Linked DNA regions of Oreochromis niloticus. The protein of the gene in region 1 purifies or fractionates together with the protein of each later gene. This does not show direct contact. Links are inferred from orthologs where the notes say so. Each region holds a gene or a part of one and is shown in the gene's direction. Other genes may lie near its edges. The genes, in order: mapk7, pfdn2, vbp1 and pfdn1.

What was found.
Region 2: the proteins of mapk7 (region 1) and pfdn2 purify together in Homo sapiens (affinity purification with mass spectrometry; 3 studies listed by BioGRID and IntAct, with this or other methods). This does not show direct contact. The link is inferred for Oreochromis niloticus from reciprocal best matches to the Homo sapiens genes MAPK7 and PFDN2.
Region 3: the proteins of mapk7 (region 1) and vbp1 purify together in Homo sapiens (affinity purification with mass spectrometry; 3 studies listed by BioGRID and IntAct, with this or other methods). This does not show direct contact. The link is inferred for Oreochromis niloticus from reciprocal best matches to the Homo sapiens genes MAPK7 and VBP1.
Region 4: the proteins of mapk7 (region 1) and pfdn1 purify together in Homo sapiens (affinity purification with mass spectrometry; 3 studies listed by BioGRID and IntAct, with this or other methods). This does not show direct contact. The link is inferred for Oreochromis niloticus from reciprocal best matches to the Homo sapiens genes MAPK7 and PFDN1.

The regions. Positions count from the first base shown.
Region 1 is NC_031973.2:17,618,410-17,625,986, forward strand, and holds the start of mapk7 (mitogen-activated protein kinase 7), read left to right. Parts: upstream 1-4,558; 5' UTR 4,559-4,719; intron 4,720-5,144; exon of another isoform or gene 5,145-5,276; intron 5,277-7,577. Other genes in the region: vkorc1 (vitamin K epoxide reductase complex subunit 1), read right to left, coding at 2,818-3,029, 3,283-3,392, 4,123-4,304. UniProt on the Homo sapiens protein: Plays a role in various cellular processes such as proliferation, differentiation and cell survival. The upstream activator of MAPK7 is the MAPK kinase MAP2K5.
Region 2 is NC_031967.2:23,683,149-23,689,972, forward strand, and holds the start of pfdn2 (prefoldin subunit 2), read left to right. Parts: upstream 1-3,802; 5' UTR 3,803-3,877; coding exon 3,878-3,958; intron 3,959-4,987; coding exon 4,988-5,076; intron 5,077-6,152; coding exon 6,153-6,276; intron 6,277-6,406; coding exon 6,407-6,598; 3' UTR 6,599-6,824. UniProt on the Homo sapiens protein: Binds specifically to cytosolic chaperonin (c-CPN) and transfers target proteins to it. Binds to nascent polypeptide chain and promotes folding in an environment in which there are many competing pathways for nonnative proteins.
Region 3 is NC_031967.2:30,265,311-30,272,731, forward strand, and holds the start of vbp1 (prefoldin subunit 3), read left to right. Parts: upstream 1-4,407; 5' UTR 4,408-4,470; coding exon 4,471-4,551; intron 4,552-6,322; coding exon 6,323-6,447; intron 6,448-6,701; coding exon 6,702-6,768; intron 6,769-7,421. Other genes in the region: putative DMBT1-like protein, read left to right, coding at 216-219, 479-787, 2,338-2,474, 2,684-2,785. UniProt on the Homo sapiens protein: Binds specifically to cytosolic chaperonin (c-CPN) and transfers target proteins to it. Binds to nascent polypeptide chain and promotes folding in an environment in which there are many competing pathways for nonnative proteins.
Region 4 is NC_031975.2:33,670,483-33,677,898, forward strand, and holds pfdn1 (prefoldin subunit 1), read left to right. Parts: upstream 1-4,458; 5' UTR 4,459-4,582; coding exon 4,583-4,615; intron 4,616-5,000; coding exon 5,001-5,167; intron 5,168-5,253; coding exon 5,254-5,338; intron 5,339-6,721; coding exon 6,722-6,805; 3' UTR 6,806-6,910; downstream 6,911-7,416. UniProt on the Homo sapiens protein: Binds specifically to cytosolic chaperonin (c-CPN) and transfers target proteins to it. Binds to nascent polypeptide chain and promotes folding in an environment in which there are many competing pathways for nonnative proteins.

The DNA.
Region 1 (7,577 bases):
AAATCTAAAACATAAAATGATTGTATTTGTTAGATTTTTATTTTCTTTTACTTTTGATTGGTTATGCTACAGGGTCTGTGTTCAAAGTATCCAAAACCATGCAGAGCTGCAGGGTCACTGTTTTCGGACTTTGTTTAGATATGAAAGCTCTGGCTCACAGTAAGTTCAAGAAGTCTGTGCTCTCGTGTCTGCCTGGATTCCAGAGTGTTTACACTTTACATGTTCTATACTTTCTGTCACTTCCACTTAATTCTGTCATCATCACTCTGATTCCATTATCTTCTTGCCCACCTTCAGCAAGCCAATTAGTCTCTCTTCCTTATTATTTATTTATTTATTTATTATGTGAACTTAGTGCTAGTCTGTCATTCTGCCATTCTGGCTCTACTCCCCCCCACCACCACCACCACCGCCACCACCAAATACCGAATTTGCCACAATGTCAAAGAATTGCTAAACCTATGGCTGACACATTTATGGCATTGAATACTTTAAAAATCCTAAGCAAAGAATTCAACAGAAGAATCCAATACAAATCAATCAAAGCCAAACTAAAAAGAAGCGAATGTGACAAATTAAAATGTCAAACAGAAACAAACTGAGTTTTTCAGTGCATGAAAGCCTACTTAGTGGCTGATTACTTAATAAAAAGACACAAACACGTGGCATTACAGTAGTTATAGACTTCCGATACTTCTGATTTACCAACTAATTGAATAATATGTCTTAGTGTCTTAGTGACTCAGTCTGTTCTGTATTTTTTTCCACTTTCCACAGAAAAGGTTATTTGCTGCATTAAGTGACTTCATCCTCACTCATACATCATGCCGGTGTTACAAGATACAGCATCCAGAGCAGTATGAAGTTAAGGAATGTTTCTTCATGGTTCAAAGGTTGCTCAGCAGAGGATGATTTAAAGATCTGTGTGAAATGGCACGATGGACGATTGGTCAAAATTAGCCAATGAAAATGTGATATTAACTTTTTATAAAGAAGGAAAACACATTTAGTCTTTTGATTTAAATATATATACATATATATATATATATATGGTGGCTAACCAACCGGACATAGTGGTGGTAGACAAACAGAAGAAGACGGCTGTAGTGATCGATGTAGCGGTTCCGAATGACAGCAATATCAGGAAGAAGGAACACGAGAAGCTGGAGAAATACCAAGGGCTCAGAGAAGAGCTCGAGAGGATGTGGAGGGTGAAGGTAACGGTGGTCCCCGTGGTAATCGGAGCACTAGGTGCGGTGACTCCCAAGCTAGGCGAGTGGCTCCAGCAGATCCCGGGAACAACATCGGAGATCTCTGTCCAGAAGAGCGCAGTCCTGGGAACAGCTAAGATACTGCGCAGGACCCTCAAGCTCCCAGGCCTCTGGTAGAGGACCCGAGCTTGAAGGATAAACCGCCCGCAGGGGCGTGCTGGGTGTTTTGTTTTTTTTTTTATTAAAATTAATTAAAAATAAAAGCTAATTATGCAAGCTTCTAGCTTTGATTGAGGTTGTTTAGAACAAACCTGATGACACGAACTCTTAGAAAACTTATAAATAAACCACCAGACTTTGAGGGCTGTGAGTAAAAAAACAACTCCGAATGAGGCCAAAAACAGATGGAAACCTGTGCAGTTATTAAATTAAACACAACAGTCTTTACTCTCTGTGTTTTACTTTATAAATTGAGTTACTGTGAGCAACACGCATGTATAATTTTGTTGAGGTACGCTGTGTATCACGATTACAGCCTGCTGTCTTTAGCAGTCTCAATATTTTTCTTGCCTGGGTTGGATTTGGATTTCTTCAAAAGATGTGCTCATCACCATTACTGACAGTCTGTTATAATAAGTCGTTTTGGTTGGAATTGCAGGGCTTGTCTGCCTCATTTGTTTCACAGAGCAGCATTAAAAAGATGTGGCGATAGTCAAATTGGCCAGCAGATGTCACTGTGGAGATTGGTTCAGATTGTTTCGAAGCCTCGATACAATTCCTGCACAAACGGTTCAAACTTGTCGCCTCGCTTTGCCCATTATTATTTTCATCAGTTCTTTGGTAAGTAAGAAACAGACAAAACATTAAATGTAAGAAACTGAGGTGTTTGCACCATTAAATAACAATACAATTACTGGCAGTTTTTCACATTTTACCATATTAACTGTTTTTGACTTTGTTCTTTTGACCCACAGTTGAAATAAATTTTATTTTAATAATCAGATTTTTACTTTGAAGCTGAGCTAATGAGCTGCCACTGCTTGTTCTGTTTTTTTATGACATGTGGTCTAATAAATTAGTTAAAAACTGTACATATTGTAATGAAGCACACTGTATTAGATATATTTGTTTATTTTTTATCATCTTTTTTTTCTCTTTGTAGGTCTGGTGACTTTTTGGGGGAGACGGGCAACTTGAACAGTCGTTCCAATAAAGTTTGTTTGAACTGCTATTAAATAGACATTTATCTCCATCTGCTGGTAGGACTGAGTAAATGTACTGTAGAGAAAGGTATAGCCACTTTTAACACATTTGACCATATAACAGCCCAGAATTAAATCACAACAATCACACAGAATTAAGTCAGAATTCAAAAATGTGTTTTAATCATTACCAGTTAATAAAAATATACAAAAGTAGCTGCTGCACAACAAAGTTTCTGTATTGAGAACCAACTTATAGATATTCTGAGTCAAATCTCCAGTTATTTTTCTGTGAAAATACTGAATGTAAACTCATGTAAACACTGGCAAAATACTGTGAGATGAATCCAGCAGGGTTTCAGGATGGCAGGAAGGGATTTGTTACATTTCACAGGCAACACTTTCTATCTGGCTTTTTCCTTAATTTCCTGAACTGCTCTCTTCCGTTTCAGGTTGGTGTAGAGCAATGCAAAGTTGACAATATACGTGGAGACACAGACCATGCAGAAGTCTCCCAGAACAAATGCGAGAATAGATGCAAGATAGAGTGAACCGGCCACAGAAACCCAGGAGGAGAAGACCAAAAAAGCTGCTGCTTTTTTAGACACAGACAGTCCTGTAAAGAAAAAAGTCAAATAGAGAGGATATCAGGACCTCAGTCAAACATAGTACATTATTGGGAAATTTCACACAGTCTCACGTCCAGAGTGGAGTAAATGTATTGCTCCATATACATATTATGCAATCCTCAAATACCTGAAATACTTGTGCTTGCCATGGATCACAAACACATTGGATTGCAAATGATATTCTAAATAAAAAGCTCTCAGCATTGCACTGTAATTTACAGAAGGCAATCAGAGACTAACCAAGGCCCATCTGCAGAGTGTAAAATATGATGCCAAGAACACTGTTGGGCTGGTTTAGAGGACTATCTTTGGCCACAAAGTACTGGACCAAACCAAAACCACGTCCCCATCTGCCAGAAAGAAAGAAGTAACAGTCAGAGCAGCAATTTCTTCAAAATAAAATGAACAATTTTTTTATTTTTTTATTTTTTTATTCCTATGAAATATAATCAGCCTTACAGAGATATGCAATGTGATATAACCATTTAAATGTACACAGAAAGTATCTATGGCCAAAATGCTTACTTTCAGTAACTTCATTACATGTAAATGTTCTATCAAATTTTGTTACATAAGTACAATGTTAAATGTTAGATTTAAGCAAATGAAATTTACTTGAATGGTATACAGAGTTTATAATCAACATATTTTCCTTAATGATTATTTAATTTAATAAATAAACCGTTGATATTATACATTACCGCTGCATTTTACTCAAAATCACTGCTTCATGTTTATGAGGGCAAAGAATCATTTCTTAAGTGTAGAACATCAAGCGTGTAATAAAGATTGATTCTCTTAAAAATGACAAGAAATGTCAAAATAAACGTATATACCTTGTATTCTCACAATGTGAAACAGGAAGCTACTTGATGTAAAGTATTTTCAGATAAATTAAGAACACGTGGCAATTCAGTGTAGGTTAGAAAGGCTAGAAAAAAATATGTTAAAGTATCAGCTGGAAGACAAGGTTAGGATCAGATATGGATCAGTGGTCACCTGAAAACAGATCCAGGTAAGCTGATTCTGCACAAAAAGCGCAGTTATGAGGAAAAACGAAAGGCAGGAGTCATATCATACCTTGAGGTAAAAACTCTGGAGCAGCTTACAGACTCCCCCAGGTCGCACAGCGCTCTGTAATCTGGGTTTCTCTCCCGGGATACCTCGACGTGAAGGGCATAAATAGACAAAACCAAACCGAAAAGGCACAAAAACATGCGTACCTTTCGCTCCCATTTGGGGAACCCCTGAATGGCACCCATGTGGACACTAAAAGATGAATTTATTGCACCAATGTGTTGAAACTGCACGGTCCAGTCTGGTTTTCTTTCAAACGTCACCGTCCTCCTAGTCAAGACGACGTGTTCGTGCTCAGATTGTCGCTTTTGATTGGTCTGTGCGAGTTTTGCGACTGCTTTTCATTGGACGGTGGAGTCCAGATGTTGGCAGATGGGTGTTTGCACTGTATTTTTCTGTGGACTTCAGTCTGTTTGGGCTTTGGGGAATGTTAATAACCGCCCTTGCTGTTCATCTCACGCCACTGGAAGATTCCACTGCTAAACTACTATACCTGAAGGAGTTTGTTTGTTTGTTTGTTTTTACTTAACCAAAAGTGTCTGAATTTTTTCTTAACATATCCACTCGGAAATGCGTCATTAAAATTGAGCTCAACTAGAGGTAACGACTGCTTAATCCTTTAAATAAAGTAACACAACGTGCTTAGTAAGCTGTGAATTATACTATGAGGATAGTTTGGAAGATTTTAATAATATAATTTTCTATGATTAGTAGTTAGTATATTCTCCAGCTTTAGCATTTGTTATCTGACTGATCAGATAATCGCAGGCTTCGGGCTTAGTTGGATATATATTATTATTATATTATATATAAAGTTAGTGTAAAGCACCAACAGGAGCAGGTATCTTTCCCTAAATCTGACTCCTCCTAAAGTAATTGAACTGTGGGGAAAACAGAAAGAACAGAAACAGAAAAAAAAAAACCCCACAAAGATAAATAAATTGAAAAAGCGGAGACTGTCCAGCAATGTGCCGCCTCCCAACGCGTCCTCTGTTCCCATTGGACAAACTACTTGACGTCAGCGCATGTGGTTGGTCCGCATCATGGCACTCAAACCCTACGCGGAACTATACGAGGAAGCGGCAGACAAAAACAAAAGATGGTCGCGCTACTACGGGGTTAAAACATCAATGCTGGTGTTGTGGGTGACTCACAAGGTGAGCGCACATTCCTTTAACAGAAAACACGTGTCAGTGTTTTTCCGTTTTGTTATATAATCGACAAAAATGCCGTTTAACGATTTCTGTGTCTAGAGTGCTCCAGCTTCAGGTAACGTTATTAGCCTACGCCCCTGCGAGTAGTCCTTGTCGTGCGGTTAGTTTATAACTATGTAGTACACAAATTAGTGTGTTCTTACAGACAGCCTCTGCTGGGTTTGGCCTTTAGCTACTCGCATGAAGACTCCAGCTTTATTGTGGAGACGTTAGTAGAGAGCTACAGGTTTGGTTTTGGCCACTTTCACTGCCAGGCCTAGCGGGTGTGGAGTTACTAATCACACCTAGTTTGAGCCCTAGCAGGTCACTCTCACACAGTTTATCAGCGTTTAAAAGTGTGTTTTTATTTGTCAGAAGCAGTAGTTTCTTTTTATTTAAGTTTTTCTCCTAAATCTCAATTGAGCAAAACTTTCGCATGTGGTGGTTCAGTCTCTGTTATTCCTCAGTACCCACATTAACGGAGGCACTCCTGGGATGGCTTCCATGCGCCCAAGTGTTAACAGAAAAGCTTTTATATGGGCATAATTTGAGTTTTCAGTAAAACTGATTTTAATAGTGACAGAAATGCTGCCGCTGGATGGCACTGGTCTTATGGAGTACATAGTGTTGCTGCTACAGATTCCAGCATAACACATGTGGGTCAAACATAAGGCCCGGGGGCTAGAATCGGCCTAGCAGAGACTTTAATCGAAAATGTTAAGGAGAGCATAAATTTTGTATGTTTACATTTATTTTAATAAATGTTACAGCTTTTTCTTGTTGACTCTCCCATGACCACTCATACTAGCCCCAAAATAATTAAGTAATAAATAATAAATAAATTGAAATAAAAGTTTGTTCTTTCAATATCAGCTATAGAAAGCTCTGTTTTACAACAGTGACATTTTCTGTGAAGTAATAGAAACTTTCTTGTTTAGAAATACAGGACAGTCTAGACCAGGGGTCTCAAACTCGTGGCCCGGGGGCCACATCACCCCTACTTGTATTTTGACGTGAAGAAATATAATGCAATTTGGCCCTTGAAGTTACTTTTTTTGTTAGGAAGGATTTGTGTGTTGTCGAGTGGAATGTTAAAAATAAGTTCTTCAAAAAGCAAAAAAATATTTAATATGAAGAAAATATGAGTGCAGGGAGGGATTGGCTGTGTTAGTTCGGTGAGAGTTATTTGTAAAGAAAACAATTTTCACTAGCAGTCACACTTGGTACACTTAGTAGTAGGGCTGTGCGATATGACCAAAATCTCATATCCCGATATAAGACATCTATCGTCCCGATAACAACATACATCACAAAAATGTAACATTTTCTGTAAATTCTGTGAATCTCGGGCAGCTCGACTTGCGTGAAGTGTTTCCAGCTGGGGGTCGTGTACCTGGAGTCGAGTGTTTTAACCGATGCATTAAACGATACATTTTTAGACATAAGTTGTAACGGCCGCCGTTTTCTTTGTGAGTATTTGTTACACATTGTGCTGCGGGGAAAAGCCTGTTCTAACATTTGAGTCCAGGTTTATTTTTTAGCACCTGACGGCTCTTTTTTGCTTCTCATCCGTAAATACTCTGCATACTCTTTCACATGATTCAGTTTATTTTGAAAAGTCTCAACAGGATCTTGAGCTTTATTGTGAAAGGTTTATGTGGAAAATAAACAAGCGGACATGCGATGGTTTTACCGTCGTTGTTGCTAACGACAACGCATAAAAACGGGCGCTTGTCCGTCAGTAATGTGGTTATATTAAATATAAGAGAAAGAGAGAACTTTAAGAAATTAATATAGCCACTACAGTGACCATCAAAACGATAAAAAAATATTGCCGTAAATAGTTTATTTTGCAACACCACGAAACAAACGATAGCGTAAAATGAAACGATAGATGTTTTTATATCGTCATCCGATATATATCGTTATATCGAACAGCCCTACTTGGTAGTTCAGTAAAAGGCTTCAGTTAGTTACGAGTGAGAAAAAATACAATATTTGACATTGTTATACAATATTTGAAATGAAAAAAAAAACAGACAAAACACTACATTTTCTGAAATATTTGTGGGTGCTTTCTTGTTTTTGCTGGTTTGTTATTTTGTACTACTTGAACACTAAATTGGTACTACAGTACCAGATAGATAGATAGATAGATATTTTACTGATCCACCAATTGTGTTAAAGTCGGATAAAGAATACAAATAGTACAGTCAACAATAGAAAAAAAACAAAGTTAAAGTGCCACCAGCGCATATTGAGGGT
Region 2 (6,824 bases), on another chromosome or scaffold:
CACAGTAGTGACAATAATGGATACAGGCTAATGATGGTGGTTGAGTTTAATGATGTTAAATATATTTTGATTTGTGTTTATAATAATAATAAAAATAATGGATTGGATTTATATAGCGCTTTTCAAGGCACCCAAAGCGCTTTACAATGCCATTATTCATTCACGCTCACATTCACACACTGGTGGAGGCAAGCTATGGTTGTAGCCACAGCTGCCCTGGGGCAGACTGACAGAGGCGAGGCTGCCATATCGCGCCATCGGCCCCTCTGGGCAACACCAGTAGGCGGTTTATGGTTATAACAAAAGAGCACAGATCAAACAACTTTACTCTTCCTTGAATAAGATGTTGGAGGAATGGAAAGTGACCTATAATACTCCAACACTGAGAAAGTCATAGTTGGAGGAGACTTTAATTTGGTCCCTGACGTCTATATGGATCGCCCTCCTCCAAGAAGAAATAGCCACTATTATGAGGAGATTGTAGCTGAATTTATTACTAAAGGAAATCTAATTGATTTTTGGAGAATGAGAAATCCCAATGTCAAACAATTCACATGGTACAATTGGGCTAATAATGGTCAATGTTCAAGGTTAGACTTTGGTTAATGTCTACTAACCTGATAAATAAGGTCCCTAAATGTGAAATATCAGCATCACCCCTGACTGACCACTGTGCTATTTCAATGTCTTTTCAACCAGGTGGGGTTAAGCATATCCCTAACTATTTATGGAAGTTTAATTTTGCAATGAAACAAAAAAACTTGTTAAACGAAATTAATCTACTGGAAATGTCACCCTTGAGTAAATGGGAATGGTTTAAAATTTAAAATCAAAGAGGTTGCCATAATAATAAGTAAAGGCATCTCAAAAGTTAAAAAAAAGAAACAACATGATATTATTAATCATATGAACAGATTACGTCAAAAAGAAGACCCATCTGTAGAAGAACAAATCAAACTAAATAATCTTCAAAATCAGTTGGATAGTTTATATCTGGAAAGAGCAAAAGGAGCATTTATACGCTCAAGAGCTCGTTGGCTTGAGGAAGGTGAAAAAATACTTCTTATTTCTTTGGCCTGGAAAATCAAAGACAAACAAAAAAGAAAATCAATAAACTACTTGTTAATAATCTTAGGAATGATAGCCAAGAACAAATAAATGAGGAAATAGAACATTTCTATAAGAAATTATATAAATCTAACTTTTCACTCGATGATTGTCAAACATTTTTTGAAATAATTAGGCCAAGTAGTACAATAATTGATGAGTCTTTTAGGCAACACTTAGAATAGATAGATAAACTTAGAATTGCAGAGCTAGATAAAGCAATTGGGCATATGTCAAAAGGAAAGTCACCAGAACTGGATGGGTTAACAGTGGAATTTTATATTCATTTTTGGAATGATATCAGGGTACTGCCTTGTAATGCCTTTTTGAATGTACTTCATCTGGTCATCTCTGTCGTCTACCATGAAAAGGGGTGTCATCACATTAATTCCAAAACCCAGTAAGGACAAACTATTGCTGGATAACTGGGGACCAATTACTTTATTATGCAATGAATACAAGTTGCTAGCTCATATTTACTCCAATAGATTGGATTTGGGGCTATCCAAAATAGTGGATGAGTGCCAGTCAGCCTTTGTGAAGGGTAGAAACATACATAACCACACTAGACTGATTCTTGGCCTGCTAGACTACAGAGAATTTATCACAACAGTGTTGTTTCTGGACTTCTTCAAGGCTTTTGACACAATCGAGCATTCCTTTTTGTTAAAAGCTTTAGAATTTTTGGGCTTTGGAAGTAAATTTTGCAACATGGTTGAAATGCTTACACTGACATCAGTAGCACGGTCTCCTTGAATCCAGGAGTCATTCCTGGATTCAAGGCGCAACGAGGAATCTGACAAGGATGCCATATTTCCCCAAAGCTTTTTATATTGGCAACTCAATTCTTAACACTATTAATCAAAAATTCTAACAACATACAAGGAATATCAATTTTTAACAAAGAGTTCAAAGTCAGTTTGCAGATGATACATCTATCTTTTTGAAAGATAAATCAATGGTAGATAAAACTTCAAGTACTATCTCAATCTTCTCTAAAGCTTCCGGTTTATCTCTTAATATCAAAAAATGTGAACTACTTCCGATTCATACAAACGTGTACTGTTGTACTGTTCCAAATTTTCATTTGTATTATTACCTGTGTTATCCTCTTTGAGAGTTTGTATTTTACATTGCTCAAATACAAAAAAGAAATCTAGGTAGCTAGTGACCAGCTGTTTGCCACACACAACCTTTTGCAGCTGGCAGGTGGTGGGCAGCCCTCTTCCAAAAAAGCAAAGAGAACATATTTAGAAAACAACAAGGGGAATAACTGAGTGTACACTTAGGGATCACTTTTGAATACATAAACTTATTCCTGGGGTTTTAATTAGTGCTGTTTTTCCAGAGCCATTCACATAGATCAGACAGCCCCCCCCCCCCCCCCCCCCCACACACACACACACAACATGTGTCTTTTGTTATTACTGTGTATTGTTGTAAACACTGACTGTATAAAATATGAATGTTCATTTTCTGTATTGGAAAACCGAAGCCAAAGTGTCTTAAACCTGCATTCTGTCTAAAGACCACCAGATGCTAATTGCTGTAGTTTCAAAAACACTTCAGGTCCTATAAATGTCTATGGAAAAGCCTCTGTAAAAAACTTTCCTGCTGAGTTTATAGTCTTAGTCACTCATAAATAATATGAAAAACTCTAATGTTAAGGCATTAAAATGGGATTTCATAAAGGAATGAATTCGCCATAGAGTGTAAATAGACAGATTCTTTATTGATCACGCAAGGGAAATTGCCGTCTTGCAGCAACACCACCCTCTACAGGAAAGGGCAGAGCAGGCTGTACCTGCTGCGGAGACTCAGGTCGTTTGGAGTGGAGGGCCCACTCCTGAAGACCTTCTATGACTCTGTGGTGGCCTCAGCCATCTTCTATGGTGTGGTCTGCTGGGGTGGCAGCATCTCTGCTGGGGACAGGAAGAGACTGAACAGGCTGATCAGAAGGGCCAGCTCTGTTCTAGGATGCCCTCTGGACCCAGTGGAGGTGGTGAGTGACAGGAGAATGGTGGCTAAGCTGTCATCCCTGTTGGACAACATCTCCCACCCCATGCAGGAGACTGTGACAGCACTGAGCAGCTCCTTCAGTGGGAGACTGCGGCACCCACGGTGTGGGACGGAGACATTTCGCAGGTCTTTCCTCCCCACTGCTGTCAGACTCCACAACAAAGACTTCAACTGATCAAACACACACATCCACACATGTGCAATAACACTAATGTGCAATAATCTTTTCTGGCATCGTTGTATTTTTACTCAATTGTATATAGCATTTGTATTCTATTCTTATCTTATTGTATATTTTATTCTATTTTATTCTACTGTATATAGTATTTTATTTTATTCTATTCTGTACAGTTGTGTACTGTATTTATTCTTATTTTATTTTATTCTAATTTTTCCTTCATAACTTTTGCACTGTCCACTTCCTGCTGTGACAAAACAAATTTCCCACGTGTGGGACTAATAAAGGTTATCTTATTCTTATTCTTATAAGAAGTAAAAATAAAAATTGTATAATCCACAATAAAAACAACATAGGCAGTGTAACAATGTAATTTGAGGTCCATACAGTAATTGGTCCATACTGAAGGCCTAGTAATGTGAAGTAGTCAAAAATTTCACATACTACAGTGATTAAAAGAAAATAATACCATAATGAAAAGTCACACTTTATTTTATTCATTTCTATACAGGCAATCGCGTAAACCAGCCCTGTACGTCTTTCCTGGGTCCCTCGCAGCAACACCCTTCCAAGATGGCAGCCAACAGTAGCAGCACGGGTAGCAAATCCAGCAACAGCAGCGGTGGGAAACAGTCCGGCCCGTCAGCTGAACAGGTACCCTCCCCTCCACCTCAGGCTGCTTCACCGGTGCAATCGTTGATATTGTTGTCGTTGGGCCTTGTGCGGTGGAGTTACAGCCACCAGTTTGAGTCCCGGATAGCTAAAGCTAACGTTAGCTTCCCATCGCAGTGAGCCAGGTGTCCGGCCATCAGTCTGCTCTCTAACAAGCAGCTGGTGTTAAACATGAAGATTTAAGCGTTCATATAATGAGCTGGGGTCAGGTGTGCGCTTCTAGAGAGCGGTTTATGGCTGTTAGACGTATTTAAATGTGCGCATGTGTGTAACGAGATGGTGTAGCTGTGTGAATAGAAGATGCTATTTTTATAACTGAAGACCACCCAGCCCGACTCAATCAACGTGAAGCCACATTACTCAGATATTCATAAAGTATCTGTAATGATGAACTGAGTTTGCCGTAAAAGTCCTGCAGTGTAGCTGCTCTCAACAAAAGTATGTGGAAAGCGATTAATGTGATCAATGCAATGGTTTCATGTGGTGCTCCTGCAGGCTGTCCATCATGGATCAGTTTGCGTTTGTTGGTGTCAGCTGCCCTCTGCTGTCCCAGCGCAGCACAGAACAGCATAGAGTACGGCAGTGACCATCACAGACTCATGCTGAGCGGATATTAAAATACCTCAGTCATCTCAGAAAATAGTGATGGCTGTGTATGTTCTTGTAGAGAACTTATGTGTTTTTAGTGAAGTCTGGTTAATTGTTAATGTGAACATTCCTTGACAGTTTCCACTGGTAGAAACAGGGCTCACTGATTTTGATCACCAGGAGGCGTTTAAGTTACTTGAAATTAAAATGCCATTATTTTTATGATATAGCCAAAAAAATTACTGAAAATGTGTGAATTTCTGAGTGTGGTGAGGTTACATAGACTTTTACACCTTAACTATGTGTGGATCAGACATGCTTACATGTCCGGTCATCTCCAAGAAACGTGAATATAAAAATAACATACCATATGCAATAGCTCTGCTGGTCCATGATGGTGCTCACTCTGGTTTTGTGTGGCAGGTGGTGGCAACATTTCAGAGGATGCGTCAGGAACAGCGCAGTATGGCTTCTAAAGCTGCAGAGTTGGAGATGGACATCAACGAGCACAGGTTGGTACAAACCTTCTGATCCGCTCTAAACAGTTTACATTTACAAAGAAGTTTCATGCGGCAGTTCAAGAAAGAGAGAACTGAACATGATTTATTGATACACAGAATTCAGTTATGCTATTTGGCGACTCCGATGCTACGACAGCAGAATGAAATCCTAGTGGCGATAGACGTTATCTAGGCGTCAAGGGTCATGCCTTGACTCTAGGTCCTCATCAAATTCTAGCTCAGGTTCTAGCTCAAGTGCCCCTCCAGCTCATAGAGGATCTCAGAGCAGAAGTCCAAGATGGTGGAGTTTAATCCATCTGACCATGGCTTGCAACACACACTGGGAAGCAGCTAAATTATTTTATGGTTTTACTGCGTGCCTTCTCAAATGTTGGCCCAAATGTGTGCGCGCACACGTGTACACAGAAAAAGCGGACAGATGATAGAAAAACACACACAGCAAGTGTTTATTTCTCACTTCCAGTATTAGGAAACATTTGCATGTTTGCAAACAGTACTGATTGCAAACACTTCATTGGCACAACCGGAACAGGTAGCTGGTTTGCAGCAGTTACTTTGGTAACTGAGTTTAAGTAACTGATCTTAAAACGTTTAAATATAAAAGTAAATAAATGCTTAAATGAGGTGTCAGAAATACTTGTATGGGTATTAATATACTTGGTGGAAGACCTGATGGCTGAGTAGTTATTCCTGTTATACTTCTTTTAAGTTCACCTCCCAGAGTGGATGTGTGGTCAGTGCATGGTGAAATAAAGTCTCCGTGGATAAGTCCTTGTAGACACATGGACCCTCACACTCACTGTCTGATGATGAAATTTATGATCCTAGTGGACTTGTGGATGTGGAGGTTAATTGAGACTTATGGCCTGACGTTATAAGCATCTAAATACGTAATAAGCTCCAGGGCAGACCAGGTGGTGCATGTGAATGTAACACTGAATGCATGTCCTTAGCCGCAAATATTTCACAATCTGGGGAATCACAATGTCAGCTACCAGCTGAGGCATTCCTGTGATACCTTTTGAGTTGAATACGTTTTCTTTTTAACATTTCTGTTTTCCATTCAGCTTAGTAATAGACACATTGAAGGAGGTGGATCCATCGAGGAAATGCTTTCGTCTAATAGGAGGAGTGTTGGTGGAGAGGACAGTAAAAGAAGTTCTACCTGCCTTGGAAAACAACAAAGAACAGGTGATGGAAGAGGAAATGATAGCATATTACAGTTTTCACACTGTGCTCTGCTGTTTAATAGCTTCATATATTGTACACAGACTCTTATTTCGCTCACGATTTAATTTTCTTCCTCCTCCTATCTTCACAGATCTCCAAAATAATCGAGTCCATCAACTCACAGATGCAGACGAAGGGGCGGGAGCTCACAGAGTACAGGGAACGCTACAACATACGTTTGGTGGGAGAGGGCGAAGGAGAGGAAAAGGGCCAGTCAGCCGCTCCCTCCAGGGACAGCGAAGGAGGCGGATCCAAAAGCGGAGCCGGTGTTTTAGTTTCATAGGTAGTGAGCATGGACAGTGACAGCAGGGCCCTTTGATTTCTGCAGTGCTGAACACGTAGATGGAGTCACACAGTTTAGGTGGAAAACAAACTCTTTGCAGGATAACTCTGGATTTGAAGTTTACTGAAATCTCTGCTTAATCTAACGCACTTGTTAATTTGCAGCAGGTATATTCTGCTTCCTTATGTTCAGTGTGAAAGTTAAAGCTGTCTTATGTTTGCCTTTT
Region 3 (7,421 bases), on another chromosome or scaffold:
AAGTTTCAATGTTTTTTTATTCATTAAACAGACATGATTTAACAAGAAATCACATCTGAATGCTTAATTTGTACTTGACACAGTTTATAGTGTGCGCAATAACAATTTTCTGGAGAATTTTAAGTTTTATCACTTCAAGAGTAAAGATGTGTTCGACATACAAGATCTAAATGTACATATAAAATATGCACATTAAACAAATTGCTATCAAAATTATGGGTAAACTGTTGTACTTTTAAAAATGTCACACTTTTAAAATTGTGTAATTTGAGTTGTGCAAGATTTTGCAGTTAGAATTACATATAAAAATCCAACTAAAACAGTACACATCTTCAACTTGTGAAAATTTCTGTATTTTTAAAAATCAGTTAATTTCCATTTTTACTTCTTCTTTTTTTTTTTTTTACCCTTTTTTTATTTTATTTATTCTTTTTTCCATTTTTATAATTCTGCTATGACCTCTGTGTTTTGTTTTCAGCCATCAGACTGGCCGGGTCTGGATCAACACAGTGCTCTGGCAGAGTTGAAATTTACCACAATAACATCTGGGGAACAGTCTGTGATGAAGACTGGGACTTAAATGATGCTGATGTGGTTTGCAAAGAGTTAAACTGTGGACCGGCACTACAGGCTCCTCAATCAGCTTACTTTGGTGCAGGAACTGGACAGATATGGCTTGAAGAAGTGTCATGCACAGGAAATGAAAACTTTCTAACTGACTGTCCAAGCAGTGGATTTGGAGGAATTGACTGTGACCATTCTGAGGACGCTGGTGTCATCTGTTCAGGTGAAAAACATTTTTGGTCATCCACAACATGTCAAATACATATCTTTAAAACATATCTTTACAACTACTCATACAGTCTCCAAATGCAAACGGGTACAAACAGAAAGTAAATGGTTTGTATTTGAGACCGAGAAGACGCACAAAGTCCAGAGAAATGGCTTGTATGAGGAACAGCATCCGGCTTTTAATTTGTGCCAAATCAAAAACATGGCGATCTGTCTTCTGTGAAAAGTAGTTGAGTCACTGAAATTAGGTGCAGTTATATCACAATAAACTATAATAGTGCAACCAAATATACAGAACAAGAAAATGCACACGCTGTCATTTTAAAATGACTGGATGCCAGTGTTGAGGCTGAGGCAGCCACATTTATAATGATCGCTGTCAGAACATGAAGTGGCCAAGATGTTGGTGATGATGATGATGAAGATGATGGGAATCTTTACAGATATTAACTAAAATTAAAGAGGAGTTTATCATCTTACAAGCTCTGTCGAAAAAGGTGAGGCAGAGAGAGAAAGAGATTGAAGTCCCCCCGTGGTGATATCTGAGAGGGGGTAAAAGGTCTTAACATCCAGCCTTATGTGTTAAAAAAGATCAGAGTGCTAAAACAGAGCTTTTCCCTATTTTCTTACAGTAGATCATCTTTCATTTTAATCAGAGATATAGTTGAAGTATAGGTCTGATTAGCATATTAAAATGAGAAATATAGTTTTAGTAGTGAAAATGACTCTTCTAATATCTGAATGTTGTGTGTGTAGACACGATCCAGCTTTGACCTTGGGATATTAGTGTCTCGGGAATTTGGAAAAGATAAGAAATGCATCGGCAGCCCATCGTTATACATGATTTTGAATGAGAGTAATGGTACCAAGTCTTGTAATGGTTGAGCAAAGAAACATAATTTGAATCAATACTGATCAGAATATAATCAGGTATATTAAAAACAAGTATGTTTAAGTTTAAGCAATATAAAAAATAAGAAAATATAAAGTATGATAATGATTTTAAAGACAGGCCTCACACTGAGAGTTTGACCTCGGTGAGTGTGAATGTGGGGGTGCTGCAGGATGGGAGTGACAGAGTGACACACGGGAGCCACTGATCTCGCAGAATGTCTGACTTACAAAATGTGTGATTTAATAAAATAAATTGTATTGAGTAAATTGTTATTGACAGACAAAGATCTTAAAAGAGAAAAAGAAAAGAAAGTGTTCCCATGTGTTTAAATTAAAAATAAATTGCGCTCAAATTAATGCTCATGTGAGAATGGATGCTGATGGAATCTAACTGAAGTAGAAATTGTATAAAATGAATGAAACTTGAAGTAAATTATATCCATTTTTCACTAAATGCTCAAATGTGGTGAATTTTTCAATGTTTATGAATAACACAGAAAAGAAGAAAATGTCATTTTAAAGTTTAAACTTTGTTTTAAATTGTGTGTGCGGGAAAAGTCAGACAGACAGAGAGAGGGTGATAAGGTGTAGGTGGACATCAGGTGATTAGATGATAACAATGTGATTGGATGTCCCCATGGGTGAGGCCAGATGTCGTCTCAGGAGATGTGACATCCGGTAATACAGGAGGAAGTTGGAGGAAGTTCTTGGTGAAAGTGAATCTGGCAGCTGTCGACTCCTCCGTGGACATGAAAGACCCGGCTGTGATGGAGTCCGTCGTGAATTTGGTAACTTGTGCTACAAAATCTTATTAAAGTGTCTATACTTATAATTTTTAATGAAAAACATACCAGATGTTTTTAAGACAGTCTTAGGTGATGAATATTCCCCCCCAAAAAACACTTTCTTTGCATTTCCTTGTGTAAAATGTTAAAATGTAACAACAATAGTCTATAATTTGAGGTGTAATCATTAAATTCTCTTTTCTGTTGCGCAGGTCAAAAATGAGCTGGGAGATACGACTGGCGACCTAAAAGTGAGCTGGTGGAAACTTCCAGAAAAGAAAGACATCAAAAAACAAGAGACGTGTACTCCATAGTTCACACTGTTTGTTTCAATAGCTGGATGAAGGCGGCTTACAGCCTGTAAAAATGATTTGATTGATTTAATCTTCACTTTTCAGATGGTATCTGTGTGTTTGCTTGTTTCTGTTGTGGTACATTTAGTTGTTAAACAAACATCATCTCTATGAGTGCAAACTTTAATGGGGTTGATGACTTAATTCTGTGATGAATTTACAAAGAAGACATGTTCAGTTGGTGCCAGCAGAGAAATATATCACAGTCAAATATGAAATTTAGCATCTGCTTTGAATTGAGGTAAAGGGATGTGATTTTCAAGGTAACAAAGTTATATTTCCATGTGGTTTGCATCATGAGAAACAAAACAAATGGGAAGATATCTTCCTTGACCTTTCTTGACCATAATGACTTTTTCTTTGTCTCTCAAAAAGTTAGAATTTAAATTTAAACCACTTTATTTGAGATGTTTTGAATTGACTGAAAAACTGTAATATAAAATGCATCTGTGTGTTTTACTAGGACCCATTTCTGTTTAAGCTTGCATATTAATAGATTTTTTTCTTAAATTATTGGTGATAAATGCTAATCGAGTTCTTCTTATCCTTTCCATTTTAATTCTTTGTTTTACTGTATATTGAATTTATATTGCGTGAGCTCTCGAGTTAATCTACTCTTCACTTTTCTGTTTGCTTTTTATATTTTACTTGAGAAAACGCAGATAGGTGTGGAGATTTATTAAAAACATGACTTCCAGATGATATTCCCTGACAGTACTTTTCGGTGTCCATAATTCCCTCAGTGTTGACAAAATCCCCAAACAACATTGGCTGAAATGTTGCCCCAAACCATGACAAACCCAAGTTTCCTTACATACTGATGACGATTTAAACCAAAAAGAATTCAAGTTTTGATTCATCACTCCATACGACACATTTGTTACTGATTTTCAGTCCAGTTCTTGTGTAATTTGGCATCCTTTGACCTTTTCATTTTTTAAGCCTGTCACTTGTTCTTTTGTCCTCCACTTGTCCAGTTTCTATTTTTAAGGACGCCCTGCACATCATGCTGGGATGTGGCAGGTTTTTGGCTAACAGCTCTTTGGAAGTCATCTTATCCCTCTTAAACTGTGTGATCACTAACATTTTTCAAGTGCCTAAAGACAAGATTTTAAAAAGTATGTTATGTACAGCCACAAATTGATTCTTTCCTTGAGCCTTTTTATGCTTGAATAATTCATAGCAGTGTTATGTGGCTTATCAATGGTCAGGTAGAAAGGCTGGACTGAAAATAAATGAAAAAGCAGCTGATCTCCTGAGAAAAACTCAGAAAGCCGGGAAAACTACTGCTCAAGAGCACTTTAAAAATTACAAAAAAGTCTCGTTCCTTGGAAGTAATATACAGAGGAATGAGGGATGACTACACTTTTTTCACAGTACTGTAATTATGTTTTGTTTAGGTGGCTGGATTTATATGTGCCTTGAATGCTGTAATCATGTTACTAACACTATTATAAATCATTAATAATGTTTCATTATTATGTGTGACATTAAAAGGTTCTTGATTCAAAAAAGACTCGTTGAGCCTTTTGTGTTACTCCAGTTGCAGCCTGTGACCACTAGAAGCAGCAGAGTCTTGTTTCCCCGCTTAAGACGCTTGTACGCATGCTCGTACGTCAGGAAGGAAGGAGTATCCTCTCTCCAAGATGGCAGCGATCATAGACAACAGCAATGCCGTAGGGGCGACAAAGAGAAAGCACCTCGGGATCCCAGAAGCGGTTTTTGTGGTGGGTAAACCCGGACATTTGTCGCTGTGTCGCTGGTTTGACTTGTTATTACTCCGCTGAAGACACACTTGTAGCTGTAGCTTCCGGTGTGCGGGTGCAGCATGCTGGCTAACAGCTAAGCTAACAGACAAGCCTGCTGTGTGTGCAGGCTGGGCGGCAGCTCGTTTCCATCTATGGACATCACTGCATTATTGTCACTCTGCCTCGTTTCCTCTTTAGGCTTTAGGTCAGTTCATCCAGCCACACATCAGTCTAACTGGAGGCTGCTTTGGTGACATTAGCCTCCTCCGTGCACAATCAGGCAGTAAGATGAGCACATTTAGATTTAACGTGTATAGTGAATACGTCCCAACATATATGAGCTACTGCTCTCAGGTGTCCTGTCTCCTGACAGCTGCAAATACAGCACAAAGTTAAGTGTCACGTGATCTGCAGGTTATTTTTCTCCTTTAGAGTGTGCATTATATCACAGAGCCCACTGCCGTGTCCTCAGTGTGTTTGTTTCATCAGGTCAGCAGTTCAAAACTCCACCAAAACTGGAAAATGTTGATCTTCATTTACTTAAAAGCATCTTAGGCAATTAGTTTTCAGTAATTCATCACTTATTTCACTGCAAATCCTCACTCATGTATGTTCTTTGGCCTTTGCTGAGCAAATACAGGCCAATTACAACCAGACCTGGTCAGTCGATTACAGGTTGAGGTGTAGTCGTCTGGTAAAGTATCAGTCACACATGTACCTACATGCATGTGCATGTCAGAGCACAGTGCAGTTTAATGTACAGTCTCCATCTCCACCTGTCAGCCACCATGTCTTCCTCACACAGCTTTGCTTCCTGGATGTGTAATCTCCCCGTTTCTGCTCCCTCTATCCCTCACTCACCTGTGATGAGCACATGTACATTTCTAACCGGCTATCAAAAGCTGAACATCAGATTCACAGATATTATAAATGTGATTTTATCATGTGTTTGTTTCAGATTTTTATGGTGGAAACAGTTTGAGCTGTTGCAAGTCCCAACAGATCTTTCACAATAAAAGCCTTGTCAAGAAATGAAGTGTTTCTGACCAGTAAGAGTCTAAGAGGCCATTAATTTGAAAGACATGGTACTATGAGGTCTTTAAGATACATGGGGCCTGATTATTAAACATCTTGACAGTGTAATGAAGTAATTTGGTGTAAAACTAATTCCTGCATCTTCAGCAGGCAGTTTGAGTGCAAAGTTCTAATGTTGTTCTTTATTTAGAGTTGCCTTTTATTTGTCCTCATTGACGTCCAAATCACCAGCTATTCCATAACGTACAATGTTTTTTGTTACAGAAGAGTTGACTTCATAAGTTTCTTAACATTAACTTACTGAAAACATGGCATGAAGATGCCATTAGAAAAATTTATTCTGAAATGATTCCGCAATTTGTAGACTGTTGAGCCTCTGCCTGTATTTAACCCTGAGGAAATCTGCCTCTCTAACATGCTCTTTTTATACCCAATCTTGTGACTGACCTGTTGCCAGTTAACCTAATTAGTTATAAAACATTCCTCCTTCCTTCCTTCCTTAGTACCACTTTTGTTGCCCTCATCCCAACTGCTTTGGGATTGAGGTAGTACATAATCTCTCCAGTGTGTCCTGGTGCCCAAATCACCTCGCTCATGAGGCATCCCAATCTGATGCCTAAACCAGCTCAACTGTTTGCTTTCTGGTTTATTGTTATTGTTTAGTTCATTGTTAGTTAATCTTGGTTCATTCTTTCTCTCTTGCCTGGATTTTCAGGAGGATGTCGACTCTTTTATGAAGCAGCCCGGCAATGAGACGGCGGACGCGGTGCTGAGGAGGCTGGACGAACAGTACCAGAAATATAAATACATGGAGCTCAACCTGTCTCAGAAGAAACTCAGGTGACACCAGTGAAGGAACACTTAACCTTGTTGTTATGGGCTTAGACAGAGATTTGACAGGTCATTAGAGTTTGGTGTTAATATGGGACACCATCAGCTGGTGGACATCATTTCTGAGTGATAATCAAAGATTTGGACAGATATTAAAGACATTTAGTGAGCTGTTTAAAGAAGGGCATCAGCAGAATTTAGACGAATAAGGACACACACACACGTTTCATAATAACATCCAAATCACATCTCTTTGCTCGCAGGTTGAAAAACCAGATCCCTCAAATCAGACAAACGCTAGAAATCCTACGACACATGCAGAAGAAGAAGGTGCGTACGGTTGTTGTGAACCAACTTTAAAATGTTACCATTGTGTGACACCAGTGTAATTGTGTGTTGAGCCTGTTGTAATTTGATTTGATGTTAAGTGAATCAAACAAATATTGGTTTGAATTCATTTACAGGGATGCCTGTCAGGTCAAAGGTTATTTCTGTAGCACATTTTAAACAACCTCAGTTGACCAAAGTGCTGTAAAAGTTATACAAAATATACACTGTACACAACAGTCGCAAAATCAACAATATATATACACAAAAACATATAAAACAAGTAAATTGGACTCCGTTTGCATTATAAAAGCCAGGGTACTCTGCTCAACTAGACCCAAAAGCAAGTGAGAACAAATAGGTTTTTAAAAGTGTCTTAAAAATGATGGGCAGCTAAAAGTTCTGTATCCATTGAGCCTCTTAAAACAACTGAATACTGAAGTCGGCTGGAAGCCGGTGTAAGGCGGCCAGTACAGGTGTAATGCGATCGCATGGTTTCTTTCCGGTCAAAGTGAGCTGCTGCATTTTGTACAGCTTGTTTGATCAGAGCCAACATATAAGAATTACAACAGTCTAGACGAGAGGTAATAGAAATGTCAAATATCACACCAAGGTTCCTTATAGGATGACAGTTAGAGGTTAAGAGACCAGTGGCG
Region 4 (7,416 bases), on another chromosome or scaffold:
TTTTTTTAAGTAATAAATAAATAGTTGTTGTTTTTTGTTTGTTTTTTTAACAAACAGAAATGACAAGTAGTAAGACAACACAATAAATAATACTATAACTAGAGTGCAACAACCTGTGTACCAGTATGGAGTATGGGTATAGAGTGTGGGTATAAATATGGGTATAAATTAATACTTTAGCAGCAAAGGGCATGATGACCAGCACTGATAAAGTGACAGTGTCAATAAGTGTTAAGTAGTGGTTAAGGTGCTACAATAACAGTTCTTGTCCATTATGCATTAAGAAGTCTCACAGCTTCTGGAATGAAGCTGTTTCTCAGTCTGGTGGTTTTGCATTTTTGCTCCTCAGCCTCCTGCCTGAGGGGCGTGGGACAAAGAGTGGGTATGCTGGGTGAGTGGGGTCCTTCATGATACAGGTGGCCCTCTTCCTGCATCCGGAGGTGTATATGTCTGTGACAGTTGGGAGGCTGCCTCCGACAACTCTCTGTGCAGCCTTCACCACCCTCTGTAGAGCTTTCCTCTCTGCCACAATGCAGTTTCCGTGCTTCCGAGGCGGCCTCCTCTGCTCCTTCACCTCCATGTTCATCAAGTCTGCTCCATACTGCTCCATACACCGCTCTCTCCCACTTCATCCAGCTTACACCACAGTTCCTGTCTCTCCTCTGACCTTTGACCCGTGGGGGTCTGACTCTGACTCATGATGCTGTCTCACGCCCAGTTTGAGTCCTCCTGGCCTCGCTTCCTTTCCTCCTGCTCTCTCACCTCCTCCTCCTTCTCCTCATTAGCAGCTCTCTCTCTTTAAAATCACACCTCCTACATTTAAGGCTCCTCTCTCACCTCCTGTTCCGTGGCTTCAGTGTCAAGTAGCAGTAGAGGGATTTCAGACGATGATAAAATGGATATATATTGGACAAAAGTTGGAAAGAGTAGGAAGGTAGGGCTGAGGAAGGACAAGTTGAAATTCACTCTAACAGGGAAGCGGGTACTTGAAGAGGAAGATGTGAGACGAGCAGGGGCGGATCTAGAAGGGTGGCATGGGGTGGCAAGTGCCACCCTAAAATGATCCCTTGCCACCCCAAGTGCCACCCCAGTTTTGCATATGACAGTGTTGTTTATTAAAATAAGATAGCATTAACAGTTTGAGCGTAGTTACAGTCAACAGTGAATGTAAATGCTAAAACTGAATATACTGCATAGTGTCCCCCCCCTCCACCATTAACAAATGGTTCAGCCCATAGCAGGAGCGGCGTTTTTCTTGTTGTCAGCAGCAAGCGATGCTTATGATTGTGCCAGAGCACATTTTGAACAACACCATGGGAATTTCGGATTTTACACAGGTGGTTGGATGTTACACTCTGGAAATGGAAGGAAGGTGAGTGTTATTAACCCTCTGTGGTCCACGGACACGCTGCACCTCCAAATCACATGACTGATGTAAGCTGACACAGCAACAAGCTGCAGCCACGCTGAGTCTCTATTTCAACCCACATTGAAAGTTCGGACTTCAAAGTTTTAAAATTTTAATTACAGGCCAGTAAATCCAGAGTTATGATAATATATATAAGCCACGCTTTTTTCTAAATACTGTCGTCACGTTTTTGTGTGTGTGTGTTTTAAGCGTTTTCTAAGGAAAGCGCGAAAACAGTAAAGAAAGGAAAGAAAGCCACCTCTTTCCTATCGGTGGAAAAATGCACCATGTCGACCAATTTAAAAAAAGTCAACACGTGGGATTTGGTTGTTTAGGAAGAGGGGAGAGTTTTGGGAGTGACGGTAACGGCAGCGAGACAGAGCGAGCGAGTGAGAGAGAGAGAGCGAGAGAGTTTTTAGATGTGGGAGATTTGTGATGTTTAGTGTGGAGTGTATAGTTAGTGTGTTGTGTTGTCTTGTGTAGTTGTTCTGTTGTGTAGTCGTTGTTTTGTTTTGTGTGTCAGTGAGGGCACTAATGAAGGTCACAAAGGCACATTTGCAACGTAAACACTGTCACTAAGTAGAAAACCAGCGGAGTGATACACCTGCTGTTGTCAGGTCTGCAGGTTTATCCCTGTGCTGTTCTCCTCTGTCTTTTGGTGGAAAAACTTTCTTTTACTGGCACACATCATTTGTGGGGAATCTTATTGCGAAACCTGATTGTTCTTGAGGCTTGAGCACCTGCCCCTTTCCTGATGGGTGCCCAAAGTGCCCTTTTGTTGAGGCAATTTTTTTTTTAATTTTTAATTTATTTTTTTTTAAATGTGTGTGTGCGTGCAGAGTCCTGTCTGTGCCCCTCAACAATAATATTTAACTATTAATCACAGTTTTGCTAAATAAAAGGATCTGGCTTGCATCAGTCACATGATCACCATTAACCAATGATCGCCCTTGACGGCAGAACGCGCTGGAACGAGCTCATAAAGAGCACGCGCATTTTTGCGGTCCGGAGCTGTAGGAGAAACACAAATTACCTCAGACACACAGACTGAGGCGACAAAACCAGTAAGTAGGTGAACAGCGCACACTGTAGTCTACAGCACACAGGAGTGTTAGCTTATTACGTACACGTTGGTAAGCTGTCTTGGGACAACTGACGAACTGAAACAAATGAGCGTGCTGTGTGTGCAACAGCGCGACAAACATTACCTGTCCTTTTATTAACTGCACAAGTAGTGCTGGTCATAGCTGCTGGCTCACTGGGTAAGGCTGTCATGGGTCTGTAGCTCTGTCACCGTGTTAGGGAACATATTTAGTTTTAAAGTAAGTTACAGGGCTTTTCCTGCCTTTCTGGAGGGATTATATTTCACTTAAAACGATCTAATATGCATGTCCACATAATAATGGATTATTATAATTATAATATTTTAAAAAACACGCTGTATTTTAAAGAACATACATTAAGAAACAGATTATATTAGATTTATATTTTAAATAAGACAAAATGCTGATTTTACAGCAGCAAAATTATTGTATCTCTACAGTTTAAAAATGTAATAAGCTTTCTGCCTGCACAGAGTGGAAAGTGAAACAAATTGAATCATCATAAATACATTATTTCATATGTATTACTCTTTTTCCCTCATTGCTTTATTATTGTAGCTCTAGTAATAAATAATAAAGGAAGGATTCTGGATCAACACCATGATGGAAACTTGTGCCCACAGTATATACAGTATTCTGAAGAAGGTCTAAAATGTCACTGTGTGTGCATGCATGTGTGTGTTTTATGTATATGGATTTTTGAATTATTACTCATAATATAACATTGTCCAGACATGGCTGGTAAGGACATGAGGAGGAAACAGTAGGAGCTGTGTGAGGCCACTAAAGGCAGTGGATCCCTCAGCAGCTGGATTACAAAGAGCACAGGTAACATTAACACATGTACCAGTTGTTGGAGAGGTATCCCAGTATAAAAATAATAATAAGCACAACTGAAATGTTTTGCTTCTATAACATTTTTCTGTCATCATTTTATTATAGATTAAGTGTAAGAGTTGTTAAGTGTGGATAATTAAATAATAGTTTATTGCAATAGCAAGTTATGCCTTGTTCTCAGATGGACAGCAAATGGAGAGTGATAGATGAGATGAGGGGATGGAAGGAGGGAGAGAGGCAAAGAGTGATTCACAGGCAGGGTCTAGTTTATTTCTCAGTTTTTTGTTGCCTTATGGTTCCAAGCGCTGTCACCAATCTTTGCATTTTGTTATTATCTCATGACACTTGTTTAATCAGCTACCATCTCTCCTATGGACTTTTTAATGTCTACAGTCTCAGATCAACACAGCCCTGCCCTCCAGCACTATCAGCAGCAGGAGCAGCAGCAACCCCTCAACAGCAACATTGTACCCATCAGGTAAAACATAGGCTACGTTTGCTTTGCCTCACAACAGTGATATAGTATGATGCGATCCCATATTAGATTCTTGATGAATGTGTGTTGTTGTTATTCAGCCTGGTTCAATGTGCCCCTTTTTAGCTTTGAGCACCCGCCCCTATAAACGTCTCTGCACGGCCCTGACACAGTGACTCCACTATATAAACACTTCATTGTGAGTATGCATCGTATATATGAGTATATATGATTACACACAGTTTATGAAAGTAACTATGATTACATGTCTAGTGTATATAAGTATATATGTCATAATAAAATCCACAATAGTTTGGAAAAGGTGCAGCGAGAAGAAGTCATGTAGATATGAATATAAAATAGAGTAAAGGTGTCAGCCACAGTGGGACAGAGAGGGTAGTTTTATTATAGTACACAGGGCAGAGGGACACTGTGGGAGAAGGTCTAGAAGAAGGTGTAATGTGAAGAGTAAGATTTGGTCACACAGTTTAAATAACAGTGTCAAACAGACGAATAAGCACGAGACAGGAAGTGTGAATGTCGTGCAGGAGGCATCTGAAAAGTGTAAATAAAGGCGGGAAACATGGAAAATACACATCACAGAGGAGGACACGTGATGGAGTTCACAGGGCGGACACTCCAGTCCAGCAGGTGGCGGTAATGCACCTGACGCTGTTTGCTACCGCCATAAAAAGATAGAAGAAAAAGGCGGCTCTCGCGCGTGCGCAGTGTGTCCTCAGAGTCGGGAGCAGAAAGAAGATGGCGGCGCCCGTAGATCTGGAGCTGAAAAAGGTAGGAGCTCCTCACCTGTGTGTGTGGCACGTGCTTTGTGCCTGTGACTAACGCGGCTGTTTCACACGTGGTCGAGTGTTTTTTCCACAGTCTCCGGTTTAAACTGCCCACGACCTCCGTCTGTGTCTGTGCCGGCGGGACACCGACACCGTCACGCTCGTGACTTTAACACACCTGCGCCCAGGCCTTGTGTCGTCACCGTGACGTAGTTAGAGCCCCTAACGTCAAAGTGACGCAGCGGAATCGTTTGCGAGTGGGTTGTGGGTGTAAGGTGTGATATCATGAAGTAGAGCTAAAAATGATACGGTTTCGGGGGGGGGGGCGGGTAGTTCAGAGTGGGCAGGCTCTGTTACCATGGTGACTAACCGTCAGGTGCGCTCCGCAGGCTTTCTCCGAGCTGCAGGTGAAGATGATCGACACGCAGCAGAAAGTCAAGATGGCCGATCTGCAGATAGATCAGCTGACACGCGTTCAGAAGCACGCCAAGCTGACGCACGCGGAGATAGCCACGCTGCCCGACAACACGCGGCTCTACGAGGGTGTGGGACGCATGTGAGTCACCTACTTTTAACCTTAACAGACCTGAACGTCACGCAGGTGTCAGCCAATCACATCGGTTCAATCATGATGTGTTTCAGGTTCATCCTGCAGTCCAAGGAGGAGATCAACAACCTGCTGACAGACAAACAGAAGACTGCTGACGAGAAGATCAAAGAGCTGGAGGTGCACGCGCACATGCCTCTTCTCATTGGCTAACTGCTGATTGACATCACGCGTGTGGGCATGTTCTGCATGGGGTTAGAGAAACCTTCTGGAGGAAACCTGAACTGTGTCCAAATTCATGGGCTGCATCCTCCTGAGGACCCAGCCTTCGTGGTCTACGTGGGCCGGGTCCTCAGAAGGTCGGGTAGGCCGGAAGTAAACAGCTGTGAAACTGGACGGTCTAGCTTTCAGATTTGTGTCACCGCTGTGTGGGTGGAGTTTAATAAACTCGGCCGTCTGCTCCTTGCAATCTAAAATATAACAGGACGCTGGCGTAAATTCTCGACCATCTCACACTTCTGTTTAATCAGTTTTCTGTTTGACGTTTATTCAGCTGTGTAAAAACCACCCGGGGGATTAATAAAGTTTTATTTTATCTAATCTAATAACTTTAATCTCAGCCAAACCGATTTACTCACGAACAAATAAAACACTGAAAAAATGACAAACAATAACATTTTTAGGTTGTCTAAGTGACTTATATATTACGTTTAACCTGAGTAGCGAAAGTCCGCAGTGATCTGAAAATGATGTGCCGGGAGTTGTGCCGTTCTCGGCGGCTTCAGTGACCCTCGAGCTCTCGGCTAGCTATCGAGCTGGTGGGTAACAGATGTCTCCGAAAATGTCAGCGCACTTTTAGAAATATGTGATATCTTGATAAACCAAGCAGATATTCGAAGTTTACACAGCTACATTCTCGCCTGAAAATATGTTAAAAGTTTATTTTGTGACCCAGAAAGATTAATAAGAGTAATATTAAAACTTAGTAGCGGCCGCCATTGTTGGAAACTGGAGTTTGGCTGAGCCGCGCTATGAATTCTGGGATATGGTGGGCCACGAAGGACACACCCGACCCATCCTTCAAATTCGGGGAAAAGGAGGACGCATTTGTCGGCTGCATTCGGAGGAGTCGACGAATTTGGACAGCCTTCGGCGCGTCGCTGTGATGTAATCGGCCTACAAATGCGTCCTCAGGAGGATGCAGCCCATGAATTTGGACACAGCTCTGGTCTTGTTAGGAGAGACGGCATCCATCCCACTTTGGATGGAGTAGCTCTCAAAATGTGACTATTCAGAGTTGGGACCAGGAAGCAGAGTTGCAGTCTTACACGTCTCTCTGCAGCTTCTCTCCTCCTGTTATCTCCCAAAACCCCATCTCCATAGAGACTGTGTCAGCTAGAGTCTTTAAAATATGAAACACGTTGATGTAACTATTGTTGTGCTTTATACAAAAAAATGGTTGAATTATCCTGCAGTCTGATTTCAGGAGGTTGAAACAGTGTTGGTGTGTGACACACACACACAGCTAAGCACTCACAGTATGTTTGTGTTTGTGATTTCCAGCAGAGGAAGGTGTACCTTGAACGCAGCGTGAAGGAAGCTGAGGACAACATCAGAGAGATGCTGCTGTCCCGGAGAGCCCACTGACTATCATCATCATCACACACACTATAATTACACTGTAATACACACACACACACACACACACAGTTTCCTGTGTGAGTTTTTCACAATAAAAGCTTGAAGACACTGCCTGGTGGTGGCTTTTTTCAGTCTGAGATTTACTTTGAATTTGTTGATGATGACGACCCTCTTCTCAGTCTGTGTGATCTGATGAATTAAACCAGCAGACGATCATGTGACTGTATGGAATTACGTTTGCCCAAAGGAGGCGGGGTCATAATGTGATTGGTCACTTTGAATCCTTTAAAACAGAAGGATTCAAAGAGCTGATCTGAGGTCTGTGCCCTGAGGTTGATCAAGAAGCATGCATCAGGGTCCAGCAATTATAACTTACTACAGACATTTAAAGCTGCACGTGTAATTGCACCATGAGTGGATGCAGCGCTAAGAACAGGCCCTATATTTCTCTGGTTTTACGATGTCCTCAGTGTTGAGGTGATAAATCAGCACATAACTGAGCAGCAGCAGAAATAACAGCTGCAGGTAAACGGTGACCTGATTCATTTGGTCAGAGATTCATCCAAATAGGAAAAATCCTCTAAACCCTGAACGTCAGAGGTCAAAGGTCCGATAAG